3 linked regions of the Daphnia pulex genome follow. The protein of the gene in region 1 interacts with the protein of each later gene in a pairwise test. Links are inferred from orthologs where the notes say so. Each region holds a gene or a part of one and is shown in the gene's direction. Other genes may lie near its edges.

Region 1 (5,359 bases):
TTCCTCAAACACGTTCACTCCTTATCCTCCGATTCTCCTCATGTCGACGCAACGACGACTGACTGACAGATATACATTTTCCTCTCCTCTTTTCACAACTCTTTTCCTATTGCAGTCCAGTTTTCACCCTTAAAAAAAAAATTCTTTCACAATCTTCCTTCCTTTTGACCACTCTTTAAGATGAGACAGTCGATGAGAGTAGGTAGAGTCTCTCTATGGAACTCTCTCTCTTTTGTGATTCGCCCTTTCTTTCTCCAAAGCCATTTTCCAAAGCCAAGAGAGAGTGAAACGGAGAATGAAACTATTTCATGTGATATTTGAGTATGTTATTGTGGTACCATAGTGCCTTTTAGTTTGGAAAGGGAAAGAGAAAAAGACAAAACAAATTTATGCCGCTCCTGGTTCATATTTCTTGTGATATCCAATTTGTGCATGGGCAACTTTCGATTGTCTTGAAAATGGACCAGAGTCGAACTTTTTAAAAAAGAAATGCCCACGTGGAATCGTCAAATATGATGAAATTTTCCTATTCACTTTTATTCCCGTCGATCCAACGGAAATAAAAGATAAAGTAAGAAAATTTAAGCGGAGAAATGACACTAGAAACACTTTGGTTCTATTGCCTATCTGTCTAGATTGGAAAAAGAATATTTTATTTACAGTATCAGTGAACGGCAATATATATATTGATGTTTCATTTTTTGGCCGGTCTCTTTTCTGTGTGTCCCTTTTGGTCTTTTCTTTCTCTCTATCTTTCGCATTTCGTTCCATTTCCCGCTTCCCAAACAACAGTTATTCAGGATTAATCCACAGCCGGTTCTTGTAAGTACTGTCTCATGATAATCGATCAGTCTTCTGTTTTTTCCTTTTTTTAACAAGTCAAGTTCTACGGGGTTGCTATTATTTTTCATTATCATTATTATTTGTTTTTTTACTTGTAATTATTTTTATTTTATTTTTTTCGACCGGGAGAGTAAATAGTTAAGGCCTTTTATTTCTTTTTTCCGTGTTGCCCATCACTTTTATTTTTAAACTTAAAAAAAAAATCCCTTCTCTTCATTTTCTTTTTGCCAAATTGCCTCCGCTCTGGAGTTGAAAGTTATTGGGTTGATTCGTTTCTTATTTATACTATTGTCACTACTCCCCTACTATATAAACAGTGTTTATTAAACACATACACACTCTCTCTTGTCATTTCCACTACTTTGCACACAAGGAAAGAATAAGAGTCATTACTTCAGAGCCGACTTTCCACTTCCTTCTCCCTTTCCTTTAATTGATGCACGATCTGTTTTGGTACTCAAATACAAAAAAAAAAAAAAAAATACAAAAAACGAAAAAGAAGGGGGATCTGGTGGGAAAAGGAATCTGGCGAAGATGTAGTCAATGGACTAAACCACTTGATTTGGTTCTCGCGCATCCTTCTTTTTCTCCTCCGACTTTTTCCCCCTTTTTTCCCACCTTTTCTGTTTGATGTAGCAATTTGATTGATGCATGCCATTATTGACGTCTCTCCGCCTCTTATTTGTTGTTTTGCTTTTTCCCCTTCAAAGTAAAATATATATCTACTATGCATATATTTTCTTTCTTTTTTATATACATTCCTCTTGTTTTTTGTTTTAGAATTTTTTACTGGTCCAATCTCCTTTTTTAAAAAATTTCAAATTTTCATTCATTTTTTTCTCCCCGACGCTGCATATCTACTTCTTAAAAAAAGGCCATTTCTAAGTTTCTTTTTATCCTTTTCTACTGTTAGCTTTGGAATGTTCAATAAACTAGCCGGTGTGACGGTTTTTCATCATTCTTTTGTAATGCGGGTCTCGTTCTTTCTTTATTTGTTCCGCAACGGCTCGATTTCCGAAAACATCGCAGATCTACGTCCGAGCCCAATTCGATTACGACCCGCTGGGAGACGACACTATCCCCTGTGCTCAAGCTGGCATTGCTTTCAAGACGGGTGACATCCTGCAGGTTTGTACAATATCAATTTTTGAGTGACACAAGAGACATGAGCAATTGCATTTCCTTTGTATTCATTATCTCACCCGACTGCGGCATTCGATATTCATGACTCGACTTGTTCTCTTCTTAAACAATGCAGATTATTAGCAAGGACGACAACCGATGGTGGCAAGCCAGGAAGGACGGTGCCGGAGAGTTGGCACCCGCTGGATTGGTCCCTTCTCCCGAGTTGCAAGAGTGGCGAATCGCCTGTTCGACAGTGGAAAAGAGCAAACGAGAACAAGGTAAAAACCCGCAAACAATTATTCATTTGACTAGGATTTTTCCTTTCGAATAATAACGAAGCGAGTGAACAGCAGGATGAAACTTAACTCTAGTTGTCAGACTTGTTGCCCACGCTTCCAGACAAGAAACTTTTCCATCTTAAAAAATGCACCAGCTCGGACTTGTATTGCTCTCCAACTTTCGTTGTGTAAGTCTATTAAGGCTCAGCGGAGGTTCTTTTTTTACAACGAATCAATGACGCAGTCGTACGCGTCCAGCTTCCGGAAGCAAAGTCTTACTAGTGGCTCTCACACAGCAAACACAATTTCCTGAGCTGGCCCCCTCTTTTGTTTTATTGGCTTTTACCTCCTCGCTCTCCCACTCGCTCTCTCTCTCTCTCGACTCAGACCCTTTCTGCGTGTCTTTAATACAAATGCAGACTCCCGACTCTTCATCCGATATTGTTTGGATTTCCTCGTCAATATGACTCTCTTATTGTTAAGACGAGCCAGATGGCGTATTGAGCCGTTAGACTCTGTACGTTGTGTGCCGGGTACTGATCAAACATGGACCCCCCACCCGGGTCTTTTTTATTTCTCATTGCAGTCAACTGCTCGTTTTTTCCCAAGAAGAAGAAACAGTACAAGGACAAGTATATGGCCAAACACAATACAGTCTTTGATCAAATGGACGTCGTGACATACGAAGAAGTCGTCAAGTTGCAGTGTATGTATCAACTCGCCAATCTTTTATGAACACGACCCATGAAAACGGTGTAGTCTATAATCGTCTTCTCTTCTTGCAGCCTATCACCGAAGAACGCTGGTTTTGTTGGGGGCCCACGGCGTAGGTAGGCGGCATATCAAGAACACCATGATAGCCAACCATCCCGACAATTATGCCTACCCGATCCCTCGTAAGTGTCATCGTCGTCCAATCACGATCTCTGGTTCGAATGTCTGGATTTTTCATGTTTTGTTTTTGTTTTATGTTGTCCAGATACGACGAGACTGCCACGGAAAGAAGAGGAAAATGGGAAAAATTATTTTTTCGTCTCGCATGACGAGATGATGGCTGACATTGCTGCCAACGAATACTTGGAATACGGTACGAAAAAAAAAAAATTGGTGTGTTTCGCCCGAGAGAGTTGACTCGAGTTTTTCGTTTCCCTGTTTTTTCCCATCATCAGGAACCCACGAAGACGCCATGTACGGTACAAAATTGGAAACGATACGAAGGATACACGCCGACGGAAAGGTGGCTATCTTGGACGTTGAACCCCAAGCTCTCAAAGTGCTGCGCACCGCCGAGTATTCGCCGTTTGTCGTGTTTATAGCCGCGCCTTCCGTTCAAAATATCAATGACGTAAGAATGTGTTTCTCTTCAACTTGTTGGATCGCGTAATTGACTGTTTTTTTGTTGCCACTTTTGCAGTACGACGGAAGTCTGGAGCGATTGATCAAAGAATCTGCACTGTTGAAATCTTCGTACGGACACTACTTTGACCTGACTATCGTGAACAACGACATTGAAGAAACCATAAGAGTTCTGGAGCAGACCATGGAGACGTTGCCGAGCAGTGCACAGTGGATACCCGTGTCCTGGATTTACTAATGTACAGATGTAATCTAGCAACTTTATATTCTTATTTCTCCTCCATATCTTTCTTTTTCGTTTCCCACTCTTGTTTCATCCAACCTTATCAAATCACAATGGATCTTCTATTCCTTCTAGATCTTAGCGCAACACGTTAAAAAGTTGATCAGCAGCTCAAAGTGAGGAAATTCCGGATAAAAGCGAGGGTTTATTTGAAAGTTTTTTAGGAGGTTAAGTCTGCTGGCGGGCAAAATGCGGTAGAGAGAGAGAGAGAGAGAGAAAGAAGGAAATGGTTTTTAATGCTTCGTTGTTTTTCGCCTGTTCACCGATGAACAAATCGGCGCAAAGTTTCAAGATTTGTCTCGTTATTCGACGAAAAAGGAAAAGAAAAAGGTTTTTGTAACCTTGGCCTCCTAAGTTACTCTTCTGCTTAACAGGATGCGATAGCAATTCAAAACTTTTTAGAACAAGTTTCTGGCGACCGGCTGTAGCGATTACGTTGAACACCTCCCCTGCCCTCTTCACTCCCGACCATTTACACAATCTCTAGCCGGTGCAGCTCATTGATTCCCATTTGCTGGTTACACTTTTCCACGTCACCCAATCCCCCCTCCCGCCCAAACAAAAATCAATTCGCTTTGTGAATCCCTTCTCGCATCGACCGGTCTGGGTGGGGTTGCCCCCCTTCTCTCTCAAATCTTCAAATCTGATACGCGTTAGAATTTCTTCCATGTGTAAGTAATTGTTTGGGTTTTAAAAATTGACTGCCATGCGATGTACTGGTCGATTGACAGCTTCATTTCCCTCGAAAAAAACGGAAACTTGGCATCTTCCAGCAGCGTGAGTCACGAAGACGACGATAGCAAATGACAAAACATAAGACGGGTCGTTTTTGATAGAATCACAAAGCCTGTGCTTTTTTTCAATCACAGGATTTCATTTTTTTTTGTAGCTAGGAGCTAATATAAGATAGATAAGACACTGTTAATGTTTCTGTTATCCTTTAACATTAAAAACCCCCGAGCCCTGTCTTCCTTCTTGAATCGCGGTCCCACTTGGTTGATGGAATATGGTGTGGATGATGACACGCACATAGTTCAGTTTCCTATGCGCGGTTCATTTCCACCATACTCGGAATCTTTTACCGGAATCTGAAGTATCTGAGCAATATGATCGAAATTGGTTGGATCTGCCAGACAGCTGTATTATTACTGAAAGTGTTAGCAACATCTTTCACCGTTCCATCTCTCTTCCCCCCTCTTACCGACTTTTTTTTTTCGTTTCCTTTTTCAATCTTGTGCACGAAAAAATCCAGATGTAAATGTCATTTTCAATGTTGAATCAATAGGATCTATCTTTACAGTTTACAAGAGAATGAGAGGCGGACATTGTGTCGTCGACACTGCGCATGTCTCAACTCCCCCGAAAAAATCCCGGTTTCCCCTTTCCCCATGTTCCCTCTATTGCCAAAAGTAAGAAGACGCATGGGGGAAAAAAAGCTGTTTTTTTATGAACGTTCGTGCGACAATTTTTAAAA
Region 2 (6,643 bases), on another chromosome or scaffold:
CCAACTGAACTGGATGATCACGAGGCTTACTAGGATAGGATGGTCTAAATATTCCGTGGTACACCCTGGGAACCTACGAAAAGAACAGGTTCGCAGGCCTTTAAATGCCGACAAACTGCCATTGAAAAACTGTTGAATGAAGGACAGTGGCAACCGTAAACCAAGCACCTCCCATTTCTTCCCCCCGCCCTCAATATAATCGTATACGCTTAAAGCTCGATGAATGTAATTTTCAAGCCCTCTTTTCACTTTTCCTCTCAACCGCCCCTCAGAAAAAGAACAACTTAGTCTCTGCAGAAGAAAAAAACACTTTCGCCCCGTGGTAAGCGTGCCGCAACGTTTCCCATGATTGGTTCCTTCCCTGTGAAATTTATTATCCGTTGTCCGTACTGACGAGACACTATACTGTTACATAACACAATAACAAATATGAAATAAAAATCGAAAATATCGAATGTTTTTTGTGAAGGCTTTGCCAGCGAATTAACAAAGGTGCAGAAAAAAGAACCAAAATGTTTAACGGATTATTAAACATTTCAAATGAAGTGCGGCCATAGCATTTGTTAGTCTCACATTATCGTGAACTCTTCTAAATATATGATGATTATTTGATTAGTAAATTAGCCTATGGGTAAATTATTTGGGGTACTACAGTATTAGGTTAAATTTAATAAAAATTAATTGACATTAAACTACAATTGTTACCGCGTTTCGTCTTTCTCAATTTTATTTTATTTTTTATTGTATTATTCAAATTCTATAGCCTACATATAACATTATGATTTACAGTCCCTCTGATAGTCTGATTGCAGATTCCCGTATTGACTACCATGCTCCGTGCTTGATGCTTCTGATCTGAGCCTGAGCGATCATTTTTCTACTCTTTTGGTGAACTGTATGCAAAACATTCCATTTTGTGTTGCTTAGTAACCAAAATATTCAAAATTTAGTTTCATTACATTTCGTACTCGTTAAAGCGTGAAAAGCCGGGGAATGCAAATTTCTAAACGATTTTGTATTTTTTACTGTTAATCTCCGTAAGATGGTGTTTACTGTTTACTGCTGGGCTGTCAATGGGCGTCTGCTGGGCTTGAGTCATACCCATAAAGTAATTACTGATGATTCAGTGAATTCTGTGACTGATTTCTTCACTCCCATGTCAAGAAGAACTCACTTTAATCTACCATGGACATTAACAAAGCAAAAAGCATTGTTCTAGCTACGTTATTTGTGGTTACACTATTATCATGTTTACTGCCATTAAAGCTAATGGATACAATCCGAAATGTCGCAGATCCTGTTCGGAAACTAAGGTCGCATATTTTTTTTCTTTCTTCTAAGCAAAAATTGATGTTTACGTGTACGTTTTTCTCTCTTTTCTTAAGGTACTCACGAGTAATCAGTTTGTTGAACTGTTTTGCTGGAGGAGTTTTTCTTGGGACCTGTCTACTAGATTTGTTTCCTGAAGTGCAAGACAACATTGATGAGGTCATGGTTGCGTTGAAAATCAACAGTTCATTTCCATTTGCCGAATTCCTAGTTGTTCTAGGACTCTTCACCGTTTTAATTGTGGAACAAATATCTCTTGATTGCAAACATGAACCTTCACAGTAAAATGATAACAACAGTATGTTAAGTGCAAAACGACTCATTGCTTCAACTTTGTTTTTTAGACAAGAAATTGGTGAAAGAGAACCTTTACTTCAAGGTTCCACAAGGGAAGTAAATGCAACAAATGCTGATCCTGAGGTGTCCTTTCTTTATGGAAGTGGACAGCCTATCAATGAAGCATCTCATCATAGTCATAGTGGTCATAGCCATGATTCTCATCATTCAGCCAATTCATCTCTACGATCTCTCTTATTATCAGTGGCTCTATCTCTACATTCCATTTTTGAGGGATTAGCAATAGGTAATATTGAATTTCTAATCCTCTCTTCATATAAAGTTATACTAATCTCTTTTTTTGTTTCTCAAAACATCACAGGATTGCAAAAAAATGTAGAAGAGGTTCTGCAAATTTTTGCGGCTGTAGTGCTCCATAAATGTGTAATTGCATTTGGTCTTAGCCTCAATCTTGTTCAGAGTAATCTTCGGACCAGAGTGATAATTCAGTTGACTCTAATATTTTGTCTCGCTGCTCCGATTGGTTTGGGAATCGGAATGGGCGTTGAGTTAATTAGTAACTCTCTTGAGGCAACAATATTGAGTGGTATTTTGCAAGGTATGGCTTGCGGAACGTTCCTTTATGTGACCTTTTTCGAAGTGCTGCCGCACGAGTTGAATAGCAATGATCTGAGAACGCCAAAAATGCTCTTCATCATTCTCGGCTTTGCCGCGTCTTGTGCTATCGTCTTTCTGGATCCTGACACTGCAAAACCAAGATGTCCTTAGTTTATAAAAGTCCAATTTTATATCTCTGGAGAGGCATTCTCAACTCAATATGAATGCCAAGGTCTATTAAAACATTATTTCTGTGTTTATTGAAAACTTGACATTTAAACTGTTTTGCAAACAATGAGGCGCGTTAATTTCGAATATGATCATATAACACTTTCATAAATAAAAATGTGTACATAATTTGTACTTTGATACTGTAAGCTTGGATTTTCATAAATATAATGAAGCAATAGTGCGTATAATCATGGTGACTAATCATAATTTCAAACATCTTGGGGAAAGAGGAGTTCGAACTAAAAGCTTTGGACGACAACCGCTAGGCAGCGCACTGGCGGACGTCAGCGTTTACCCTTACTCTCGAATGTGGTAATCAAGAAGACGACAGAAACTTTCGAACAAGTTCTGGAATCTGAAGTTGTATTGTTCTATAATTATTTTGGAATACATACGAGTGTTCGTTGAATTTCTAAAACATGGCTGAGTCGAGTGAGCCACAAAAAATAAAATTGACCGTTAAAACCCCGAAGGATAAGAAAGATGTAGAGGTACCGGAAGAGGCCTCAATCAAAGAGGTAATGCTCAAATGAACAATATGTAACAAATTTGTTTTTCTAATGAACTCTATTTTAATCCTGATTCTTGGTCTGCATTCTAATGTATATTTCCATTTTAGCTGAAAGAAATTGTAGCTGAAAAGTTTGGGGCAACTGCTGAACAGGTGTGCCTTATCTTCGCTGGCAAAATTCTTAAAGATCAAGAGACATTGAAAGGGCACAACCTGAAGGATGGACTCACAGTACACCTTGTCATCAAATCTGGCAATGCCATCAGAACCACACAGGAATCACCAAGCAATGTTTCATCCAACACGATTCCACAGCCGTCTGTAACTCCTAGCAGACCGGCAGAGCCGAGTCCCTCATCTCCCTTTGGAATTGGTGGATTGGGTGGTCTTGCAGGTTTGTAAAAAAAAAAAAAAAAATTTGAAAAGTGTTATGTTATAAAATTGTGTTTTTGTTTATTTAGGTTTATCAAATATGGGATTGGGCTCAGGGAACTTCATGGAGATGCAGCAAAATATGCAAAGGGAAATACTTTCAAATCCTGAAACACTACGCAATATGATGGACAATCCTCTTGTTCAATCACTTATGAGTAACCCTGACTATATGAGACAAATTTTGACTTCTAACCCACAAATGCAGCAGTTGCTGGAGGTAGGCAATCTGTGTTATAAAAGTATGGAACTCTGACTAAAATAGAATTTGAAATTTTGCAGCGTCATCCAGAAATCAATCATGTAATGAACAATCCAGAACTGTTGAGACAAACGATGGAAATTGCAAGGAATCCTGCCATGTTGCAGGAACTTATGCGCAGTCAGGATCGGGCTCTTTCTAATTTGGAATCAATTCCAGGAGGTTACAGTGCCCTTCAACGAATGTATCGCGACATTCAGGTTTTAAAGAAATGGAAATCTTTCAAGAAGCTTTGCTCACTGATGGATGTTGATTGATTCTTTAGGAGCCAATGTTCAATGCTGCTCAAGAACAGTTTGGTGGCAATCCTTTTGCCGCTTTGGTTAATAACGCCGGGCCTCTTGCTGGGTCGGCTAATCCTCAAGCAGGACAAGAAAACCGTGCTCCTTTACCAAATCCCTGGTCTGGACCATCTTCGACTCAGTTTGTTTATTGTCAAGTATGCTTATTATAGTAAATGAAACAAAACACCGTTTATATTTTTAGGTCGCCTGGAAGCAATTCTGAGACTAGAACTGGTGGTGAAAATCGAAGCCCATCCAGTTCAGCTGCCCAAGGTGTAACAGGCATGCCAGGCATGCCCGGCATGATTAATTCACCAGGAATGCAGTCTTTGATGCAGCAGATTGTCGATAATCCGCAACTTATGCAGAGTATGATGAATGCCCCTTATGTCCAAAGTATGTTCCAACAAATGGGTTCAAATCCACAACTAGCCGAACAGATGATCCTCAACAATCCTCTATTTGCCAGTACGTTTAGTTAATTGTTTCATTTCGTGTTATTTTGTTTTTCAATTATTTATTTTATAATATCACCGTCAATCAGGCAACCCAGCTATGCAAGAACAAATGAGGACAATGCTACCAACATTCATGGCTCAGCTCAATAATCCGGAAATTCAGAATTTGGTCACAAACCCACAAGCTATGTCGGCGATGATGCAGATTCAACAAGGAATGGAGCAACTCCGACAAGTCGCACCATCGTTTGCTACTACGTATGACAACTTCTCATTCTATAATAATCGGCAGCGAATGTAAATGTAATTCTTGTTCGATTGATTTTGCAGGCTTGGTCTCGGTTCTCTTCCTCCGCCTTTGAATCCTGCTGCAAGCACTACACCCGCTGCGTCGGATACGACGACAACAGCTCCTCCACCGACGACTACCCGGCCTGGATCTGACGCTTTTAGCAACATGATGGCAAGCATGGTAGAAGCGCAATAATTGATTTTTACACACAAATTCAGTAAAACAACTATTTATTTTTCGAACGGATAGCTAACTTCCCTAGCAGGTCAAGGTGGAATTGGAAGCGGAATTGGCGGTGGTTCCACCCAACCACCGGAAGAAAGATACCGTTCACAGTTAGAACAATTAACAGCTATGGGATTTATTAACAGAGAGGCCAACCTCCAAGGTAATTTTTAAGAAAATATTCAAAACAGACAAGTTTCTTAAAATTTTATTTTTGTTTTTAGCCTTGATCGCAACCTTTGGCGATGTGAATGCTGCTGTGGAAAGATTACTGCAGAATCGCCCTATGATTTAAATGTTGTCTGAAGATTTTTTGTGTTCTTTTATTTTCATAATTACCTTTCCTTCTTACCACTCTCTTGCCATTCTTTTCTTATCACCTAGTAATTCCTTTCTAACTCTTCTCGGTTGAGTATCTTGAAAATGATCAGTTGATTTCGATATCGAGCGCTAACTTTTCAAGACTGTTTACAAGGTACTTTTTCTTGTAGTCAGACGGGTTGTAACATTGATTTCTTTGTCTAACATCTCTTGTCCTATTACCCTCCTTTAAGTTTTTTTTTCCAGGTCTTTCCAGACACATTTCCAAGCCTATCACTTCTCCCTTCCTTTGGTTGTATAATCTGATGTTAGAATCCATCCAATATATAAATGATCAGAACGTTTTGTTGGTGAAGTCTTATGTAATTCAATATTTAATCTTGGATAGAATTTCAAGTACCCACACGTGCATTATTCCCATTCCAAAAGCAAAAAAAAAACAAAGATAGGTATAGAAAGCACGTCGGCAAAAACAGGATCCTTGAGGTACTTGGGTTAACATGTGTACAAAGACCCAAATAAAAGCGGATTAATTGGCTAGCGGAGTGGAGCAGACGAAGAGGAAGACATGCTGCCCAAGCTGCTAGGAGGCGAAGTGGTTCCGGCCAACTGCGAAATGCTGCTGCCGATTCCCAGGCTACTACTGGCAGGTCCACTGCCAAGGCTACTGCTTCCTACTCCGAAATTCATTTTTTCCATGTCTTCATCCAGCTGATTTTGATGCAACTCTTGAAGTGTATGAACCAACCGCGTCCATTCGTCTGCTCTTGGAACAGCCAATTGCTGAAAATTTACAATTCATTTAAAAGTTAAACATTAAACATTAGAAGTCAACAGTACGAAAGATATACAAGATAAGTTCATACCTCTCCAACTTCATAAACCCAAATTCGCCCATTATCATCGCCCACAGTGAGATTCATTCCAGATTGGGTCCACTTGACACGATTTAAGGCAGGATTGCCGTCAACATTAATACTAGTAACTGGTACCTAAATAATATTCGAGGTTAAAACCAAATTTTAGAGGTATGAAAAATCACAAGACCAACCTCTGTGTCTTGATTAAGATTCCAAACATCAAGACGGCCCATGCCGTCCACTGTGGCGAACACAGCTGGATGAATTGGAGACCAAGCTACGTCATAGACATAATCACCATTGTCTTCAAATGAATACAATGGTTTGTTCTCCTGCAACATCGAATAAAAGAAATGGATTAGTAACTTGATCCGTAAAAATAAAAAAATAAAACTATTCTCACCTTGAGACTCCAAAGTTTGACGGTCCAGTCGACAGAGGACGTAAGAAAGAGGTGTGAAAAATCAATAGGTCCTTGAGAGTTGTGACAGTCCATGCCACGAATTGGTCCTTGGTGTCCCTCGTAGGTATCGATAATTCCGGC
Region 3 (6,122 bases), on another chromosome or scaffold:
TTGTGCCACTCGACGATATTATTTCTACTCAATATTCACGTATTTGGATAGCAAAAACAAATTGAAATGTTATTAAACAGTACTTACTGACTTTCGCGAAGATAAATAACGTACAAGACAAGCCAGACGATCAAATTTAACCAAAGTGGCGGTCGAAAACTTTTTCAAGAACGTTATCACAAAGGAGCTTGGGTGCTTGGTCTATGGGGCTCACAAAGCAGCATCAGGAAGCTAGTACGAGAACAGGGAATACACAGTAAAGCCAACACCCATGCGGAGGTTGCGCACGAAAATAAAAACTCTTGCCGCCGGCGCAAGGGATAGCCTCTCTCCATTGGCCTATTGAGCCGTCTTTGCCGTTGGATATTTTGAATCCCCTACCCCATTTTTATTTTATTTTTTATTTTTTGTTTTTGTGTAACGGTCATTTTAGGCGCATTTTTAAGGGTACGTACGGGCATGCGTGGAATGGGTGTTTTTCTTTTTTTTTTTACAAATTGCCAACTTATGCTTCTATTAATAGCATTTTACTTGGGAAAAAGAAAACACAATGACCTGTAATGATTCATTAGGTTCATCCCCCACTTCATCAAAATTCGAATTTAGTTTTGGTTTGATAACGCTAGGGTACGCCATCACACGCATACCATACAGTAACGACCTCAAAAGCGTCTGGAGAGAAAGAAAAATTCTAATGTCGTAGTTTCTTTATTTCATTATTATTGTTAATCGTAGTTATATATCATCCATTTTGTTTTTATATTAAAACAAGAAATAAGTTAGAGGGTAGCTTATATGAAGGGCCCGATGAGTAAATATAAACGGCAATAATCTATCGGCAGACAACAAAATTAGAAAGCACAAGGGGTTATGAGGGGAGAGGGAGAATAATATCAAGCGACCAATAAAAAGGAAAAATTTGTTTGTTGATTAACGTGGAGATGGTTTCAACTCCCGTGAGACGCGAATATTGGCCGGATCGAATTTGCAGCGGCATCTTTTAAAAATATAATAAAGTTTTGAATTTTTGTAGTGCATTGATTAAAAATGTGTAAAATTAAAAAAAAATAGTAATTACATGCATTCGTTAACGTCTTCAGGACAACTCCACTCGCAGCCGGGCTCTGATTTACAGCTCTCCGAAATATCAGACTGCAATGATTTAGTATTAATGCCGGTTCCTGAGGCAGCAGCTTGGTTGACCTTGCCATTTGCTCTGATAAATACAACGTAAATATTTTATTAAAATAGCAGATGTCATCAATGATATTAAAAGAAACTGACCTTCGTTGATTTAAAAAAGGAAATCGAGGAGTAGCTGGTGACGCAATTGCGTTGCCGTCAGCATCTACTTCGGCCTGGAATGGCCGACGACGACGTTGCGGACGTTGTTCAGATGCTGCAGCGTCGGCGGTAATATCAAACAGAGCCAGCTATTTTGAAATAAATGCGGTTAGGATTTTTTAAATTTTAAATGACACGACACAAAGAATAGGTTGCATTTTATAAGCAGAATGACACAAGACTGAATTCCAAATGACGAAAGGAAATGAATATACTTGGGCCTAGCTTTTGCTATTTTTAACCACAAAGAAATATGGAGATTCCTGTAAATTAAGAAAATTGAAAAAAATCAAAGTAATTGACGTTACCATGGCGAAAGATGCAATCAGCAACAGCGTGATAACTTTGGTTGATTTCATGATGATGAATAGTCTGGATAAGAACTGTTAAGATTAAGTGTAGTAACTTTTTCTTGACTAAACCTCGCTCGTTCAAGAGAACACGATGCCAGCTAATATCGACACCGACTGCTATTTGTACCTCCTGTCCTGTCCGCACTAGGCGCGTTCTTCGTCTATCCCGGCGGGCGGCCAAAGAGCGGGCGGCGCGACGCTCACAGCATTTGTTGACTCAGCCGTCGTCTTTCAAGTGAATTACCATATCAATCTCTCGGCAACTTGTCTGAATACTTTTTTTTTTATGTTTTGTTTTTCGTCGTCCTCTGTCCCGAACGCACTCATCCGCTCTTCGATACTTGTGTTCTCCTATCAAATGCGGCAGACATCTAGGTCATAATTCAACATTTGACCTATTAAAGCGTAAACAAAATTCGCAAATCTGGAGTTGTTGCGTTACTTTGACATTCAAAAACATGAAACAGGGTAATGGATATTCGGACCTCATTTCATCACCAAAAATCTAGGCCAATTCCTCCTCCACCACTTCCCCTCTTGTGAGGATGAGTACTACACATCAGACAAAAATTGATTAGTTTAAATCGACTTCCATGAAAATCAGACTACAACTCTATTTCAAAACATTAGCAATCTGACTCCTACTGACACACCCAAACACATTTGTTTTCTTCATTTTGACCTTGTGCTTAGACATGTTTCTGTATCATCCTTTCATTCTGAATACGTAATCGGTATATCATTGAAATTTTTTAAAATACTTAATTGCAATAGTAGTTTAAATCCTAATAGAAACGTCAAAAGACCCTGGTACCAATGCCTGACTATTCCATCAGTTTTCTACTGTTAAATAAGCGACAACAAGTTTATGCTAAAGCAGAAAAAGAAAAACGATTCGATAAATCTGGGGGACTGTCATCAGCACCCTAACAAAGTGATGCTACTTTTGGAATAGTCAGATGTAAGCGGAACTTGGTATAAGGGTGCGGGGAGAGGGATTGGAGAGGGTATGGCACATGCTATTGATTACCTTCTAGTCTAGAGGAAACCGCTTCTGGCTGGCCGAGCATTACGGGGTACGGCAAATACAGCTACTATTTAACCTGAAATTTTTAAATACAGTTTTTTTTAAACATTAGACAATTAAAAATTTCTCGTTGAATATTCGAAAATATATCGGTACATTTCAGGTTTAAACTATGATATAACACTTTTTGTAATTAAAGAGGGCGTTGGAGAACAGATCCATCGCCGGACAAATCAGTTTTAGGGCGGAGCCTATGTATTGACAGAAAGTTCGTGTGTTTTGCCCTGAAAATTCTTCCATTTTTTAACCCAGTTTTGACATTTATTGAAGTTTTTCTCATTGCAAACCTCTACTTCTTGATATAAACTATGGCAGCTACTACTATAAGTGAACAATTGTCTCTCGACAAAGGTAAACGGCATTTACTTCTGAAGGCAACTAGCTGTCGTGGAACGCTCTTATTAATCCCTTAAAATTTATCTTCTAGATATAAACCGAGCTGTGGAATTGCTGGAGAAGTTGATGAAAAGTAAATCTTTAAAATATCAGTTATCAAGAGCACTAGGTCATAATAATTTCTAATCAAAACTAGGTGGAGAAGTTCCAACGGCAAAACTGTCTGCTCTTCACAAGGTGCTGCAGAGTGACTTTCTAAGAGCTGTCAGAGAAGTTTACGAACATGTTTATGAGACAGTAGAAATGGGAGGATCACCTGATGTCCGAGCTTCTGCCACAGCCAAAGCTACAATTGCAGCTTTTGCTGCTAGTGAAGGCCATGCCCATCCTCGAGTCGTAGAACTCCCCAAAACTGATGAAGGTCTTGGATTCAATGTCATGGGAGGTAACAAAATAAATACATTTTTATGCATATCCTTTCCTTGAGAATGCAATGGTGAAAATTAATTTTTATAATTACCAAATGAATGTTTGTAGGAAGGGAACAAAATTCACCAATTTACATATCAAGAATCATTCCTGGAGGTGTTGCAGACAGACATGGTGGTCTAAAGCGTGGTGACCAATTGCTCTCTGTTAATGGAGTGGTAAAATTGATAAACTTACTTCTTCCATTTAAGTTTTCTCTGACTGTTAATTTTTTTTTTAGTCGGTAGAGGGTGAAAATCACGAGAAAGCTGTGGAACTCCTGAAAGCTGCTCACGGTTCAGTGAAACTAGTTGTGCGTTACACACCAAAAATATTGGAAGAAATGGAAATGCGCTTTGATAAACAAAGGACCACGCGCCGAAGACAACCGTACTAAGTTCACTTTAACAAATCTCAATTAGGAGCATCATCGTCCCCATCGCAAATTTTGACTCCTCGTATTATCAATAGTGTAACCAATTCCCCATCCTGACTGTTACAAAAATATTCAATATTGTGTAGCTAAATATTTCATAGTTAAATTCTATGACAAAGACGGTTACACGTTATCACTCATGAATGTAGAGAAACCTTCATTCGTCCTTGCAATTGTTTTTTTGCTTATTTTGAACACAAGTTGCAAAATGGAAGAAATAGTAGCAACCTTTTCTTAAATGAAACCATTAACTAAGCTAAAACCTGATGTTAACTGATCTGTAGACTTATTTGTTGAAATGAATATAACTTCGGAATCAAACAATGCTGTTTTAGTAGTGATTAGCAAATTGTAATAACATTAGTTTCTCAAGCGGACGAAAATGGTAAGCCGGAACGAAATTAGAATTCAAGCAGATTGATTAGAAAAAAGTCATCCATTGCTGCTCAGGAACTCGGTGGACCTTGAGGCACGGCCATTTACTTCAATGAGGACAAACCAGCACGCATAATCTCATCTACCAAAAGCAGATTGCTAGCGATGACCGTGCTAAAAAAATAAAAATAAATAAATAAGTTGGTAACATCAACAATAATTTTGAAACTTACCAAGAATGGAGAATCTGTTTCTTAACACGATAGTTATCATAGATTCCTAAATCTGCTGGAATCATCGGCTCGCCCGATTGTAGATCAAGACCAATAAGGGGTCCACCTTCAACAAACTCTTGTTGCATTTTGACAATAGAGTCTTGAGGGTCAAATCCAGCGTTTTGTGCCAACACTTTCGGAATGACCAGCATGGCATCAGCATATGCTTGAACACCAAGACGGGCGCGACCCTTGACTTGCTCCTTGTATGCAACCAAGACCTTATGAGTTGCAATTTCAACAGCTCCAGCACCGGGAACGACGAAAGCTAGTATATCGATTATCAAATGATATTACCATCTTTTAAATGTGTTGATTCAAATTTTGACTTACTATCTTCTAGTGCGTTGACAACTGCACGAAGTCCATCCCTAATTGCATCCTTTGTCTGAGTTAAAGTATATTTGTTTGGGCCTTTGATCAGAATCGTAACACTCCTGGGGTTACGACAATCTTCAACAAATGTATACTTATCCTCGCCCTGTGAAAGAACCATCAGATTATGTCGTTATATCAAGAAACAGAAAATGTGTAATTACCAAAACATGCTCGTAGACGGCACCGGCATATCCAAGACATGATTCGGAAAGATCATCAAATGAATTCATGGCAATACCACCACAGGCCAGAGTCAATCGCTCCATGTTACGGCGTTTGGCTCGGCGAAGAGCAATGATGCCTTCTTTAGCCAACATATCCAGAGACAAAGGATCGATACCCTGACATTCAAATAGAAAAATTAGATACATCCCAGTCGATCCAGCTAGCATATAGATTATACCTTTTGGTTGATAAGTACAAAAGTCTTGTCAGTGCCATCGCAAAGCTTCTTCTTCAAATCAACAACTTTCTGAACGCGGCTCTCGATGAACTGCCTTTCAGCTTTAACGAGTTTTTCACGCTCATCAGCAGTCTTGTAGAAAAAGCCTGAGTTAACCTCACTATGTTAGCAGAAGATAACATAATTATTATCCAGTCTAAATAATGTCAAAATAGAAAAAGAGTACCTTTTCTCATATTCCATTGAGACGTTGCAAGTGAGGATATAAGCATTATCGACACGTTTGGGCATATCAGGATGACGGGAACCATGATCCATAACGATACCACGGATAAGCTGGGTGTCCATTTCCGTTTTGTGCTGCATCTCCATGATTTCAACCATATGCAGATCAATAGGTTTATCTAAATGTTAAATGCTACATAAGTACACATACATAAACTCATGTTCTTGTTATTTAAGTACCATCTTCCTTAATGGCCAATACAGCATCTACACATGCCTCTGTAAGTAAATCAGCCAACACCTGATGGACTTTTGTCCTCAGAGAAGTTCGGGCAACTTGAAGTAGAATCTCTCTTTTGGCTTCAACTGGGATCTTGGCAGACTCCAAAACTTCCAAAGCTTTGACTTTTGCTAGTTCAAAACCCTCAGTTAAAATTCTGGG

What was found.
Region 2: the proteins of peripheral plasma membrane protein CASK-like (region 1) and ubiquilin-1-like interact in a two-hybrid assay, tested with the Caenorhabditis elegans proteins (2 studies listed by BioGRID). The link is inferred for Daphnia pulex from reciprocal best matches to the Caenorhabditis elegans genes lin-2 and ubql-1.
Region 3: the proteins of peripheral plasma membrane protein CASK-like (region 1) and protein lin-7 homolog C-like interact in a two-hybrid assay, tested with the Caenorhabditis elegans proteins (5 studies listed by BioGRID). The link is inferred for Daphnia pulex from reciprocal best matches to the Caenorhabditis elegans genes lin-2 and lin-7.

Annotation. Positions count from the first base shown.
Region 1 is NC_060018.1:1,086,172-1,091,530, forward strand, and holds part of peripheral plasma membrane protein CASK-like, read left to right. Parts: intron 1-792; coding exon 793-822; intron 823-1,872; coding exon 1,873-1,971; intron 1,972-2,101; coding exon 2,102-2,246; intron 2,247-2,832; coding exon 2,833-2,952; intron 2,953-3,031; coding exon 3,032-3,142; intron 3,143-3,225; coding exon 3,226-3,333; intron 3,334-3,415; coding exon 3,416-3,591; intron 3,592-3,660; coding exon 3,661-3,840; 3' UTR 3,841-5,359. UniProt on the Caenorhabditis elegans protein: May play a structural role in the induction of the vulva. May be required for the localization of signal transduction molecules (such as let-23 receptor) to either the basal membrane domain or the cell junctions.
Region 2 is NC_060019.1:8,123,678-8,130,320, forward strand, and holds ubiquilin-1-like, read left to right. Parts: upstream 1-2,709; 5' UTR 2,710-2,873; coding exon 2,874-2,972; intron 2,973-3,073; coding exon 3,074-3,359; intron 3,360-3,426; coding exon 3,427-3,617; intron 3,618-3,679; coding exon 3,680-3,859; intron 3,860-3,924; coding exon 3,925-4,082; intron 4,083-4,145; coding exon 4,146-4,411; intron 4,412-4,487; coding exon 4,488-4,659; intron 4,660-4,731; coding exon 4,732-4,873; intron 4,874-4,942; coding exon 4,943-5,081; intron 5,082-5,142; coding exon 5,143-5,213; 3' UTR 5,214-5,579; downstream 5,580-6,643. Other genes in the region: zinc transporter ZIP1-like, read left to right, coding at 1,186-1,313, 1,386-1,610, 1,674-1,912, 1,988-2,394; cytoplasmic dynein 1 intermediate chain-like, read right to left, coding at 5,777-6,022, 6,106-6,231, 6,291-6,431, 6,503-6,643. UniProt on the Caenorhabditis elegans protein: May play a role in the ER-associated protein degradation pathway (ERAD) possibly via its interaction with ER-localized proteins ubxn-4 and cdc-48.1 and/or cdc48.2, providing a link between the polyubiquitinated ERAD substrates and the proteasome.
Region 3 is NC_060028.1:9,841,494-9,847,615, forward strand, and holds protein lin-7 homolog C-like, read left to right. Parts: upstream 1-2,943; 5' UTR 2,944-3,092; coding exon 3,093-3,135; intron 3,136-3,211; coding exon 3,212-3,253; intron 3,254-3,316; coding exon 3,317-3,565; intron 3,566-3,657; coding exon 3,658-3,767; intron 3,768-3,829; coding exon 3,830-3,985; 3' UTR 3,986-4,345; downstream 4,346-6,122. Other genes in the region: T-complex protein 1 subunit zeta-like, read right to left, coding at 4,504-4,573, 4,633-4,942, 5,008-5,155, 5,214-5,393, 5,456-5,615, 5,682-5,859, 5,921-6,122.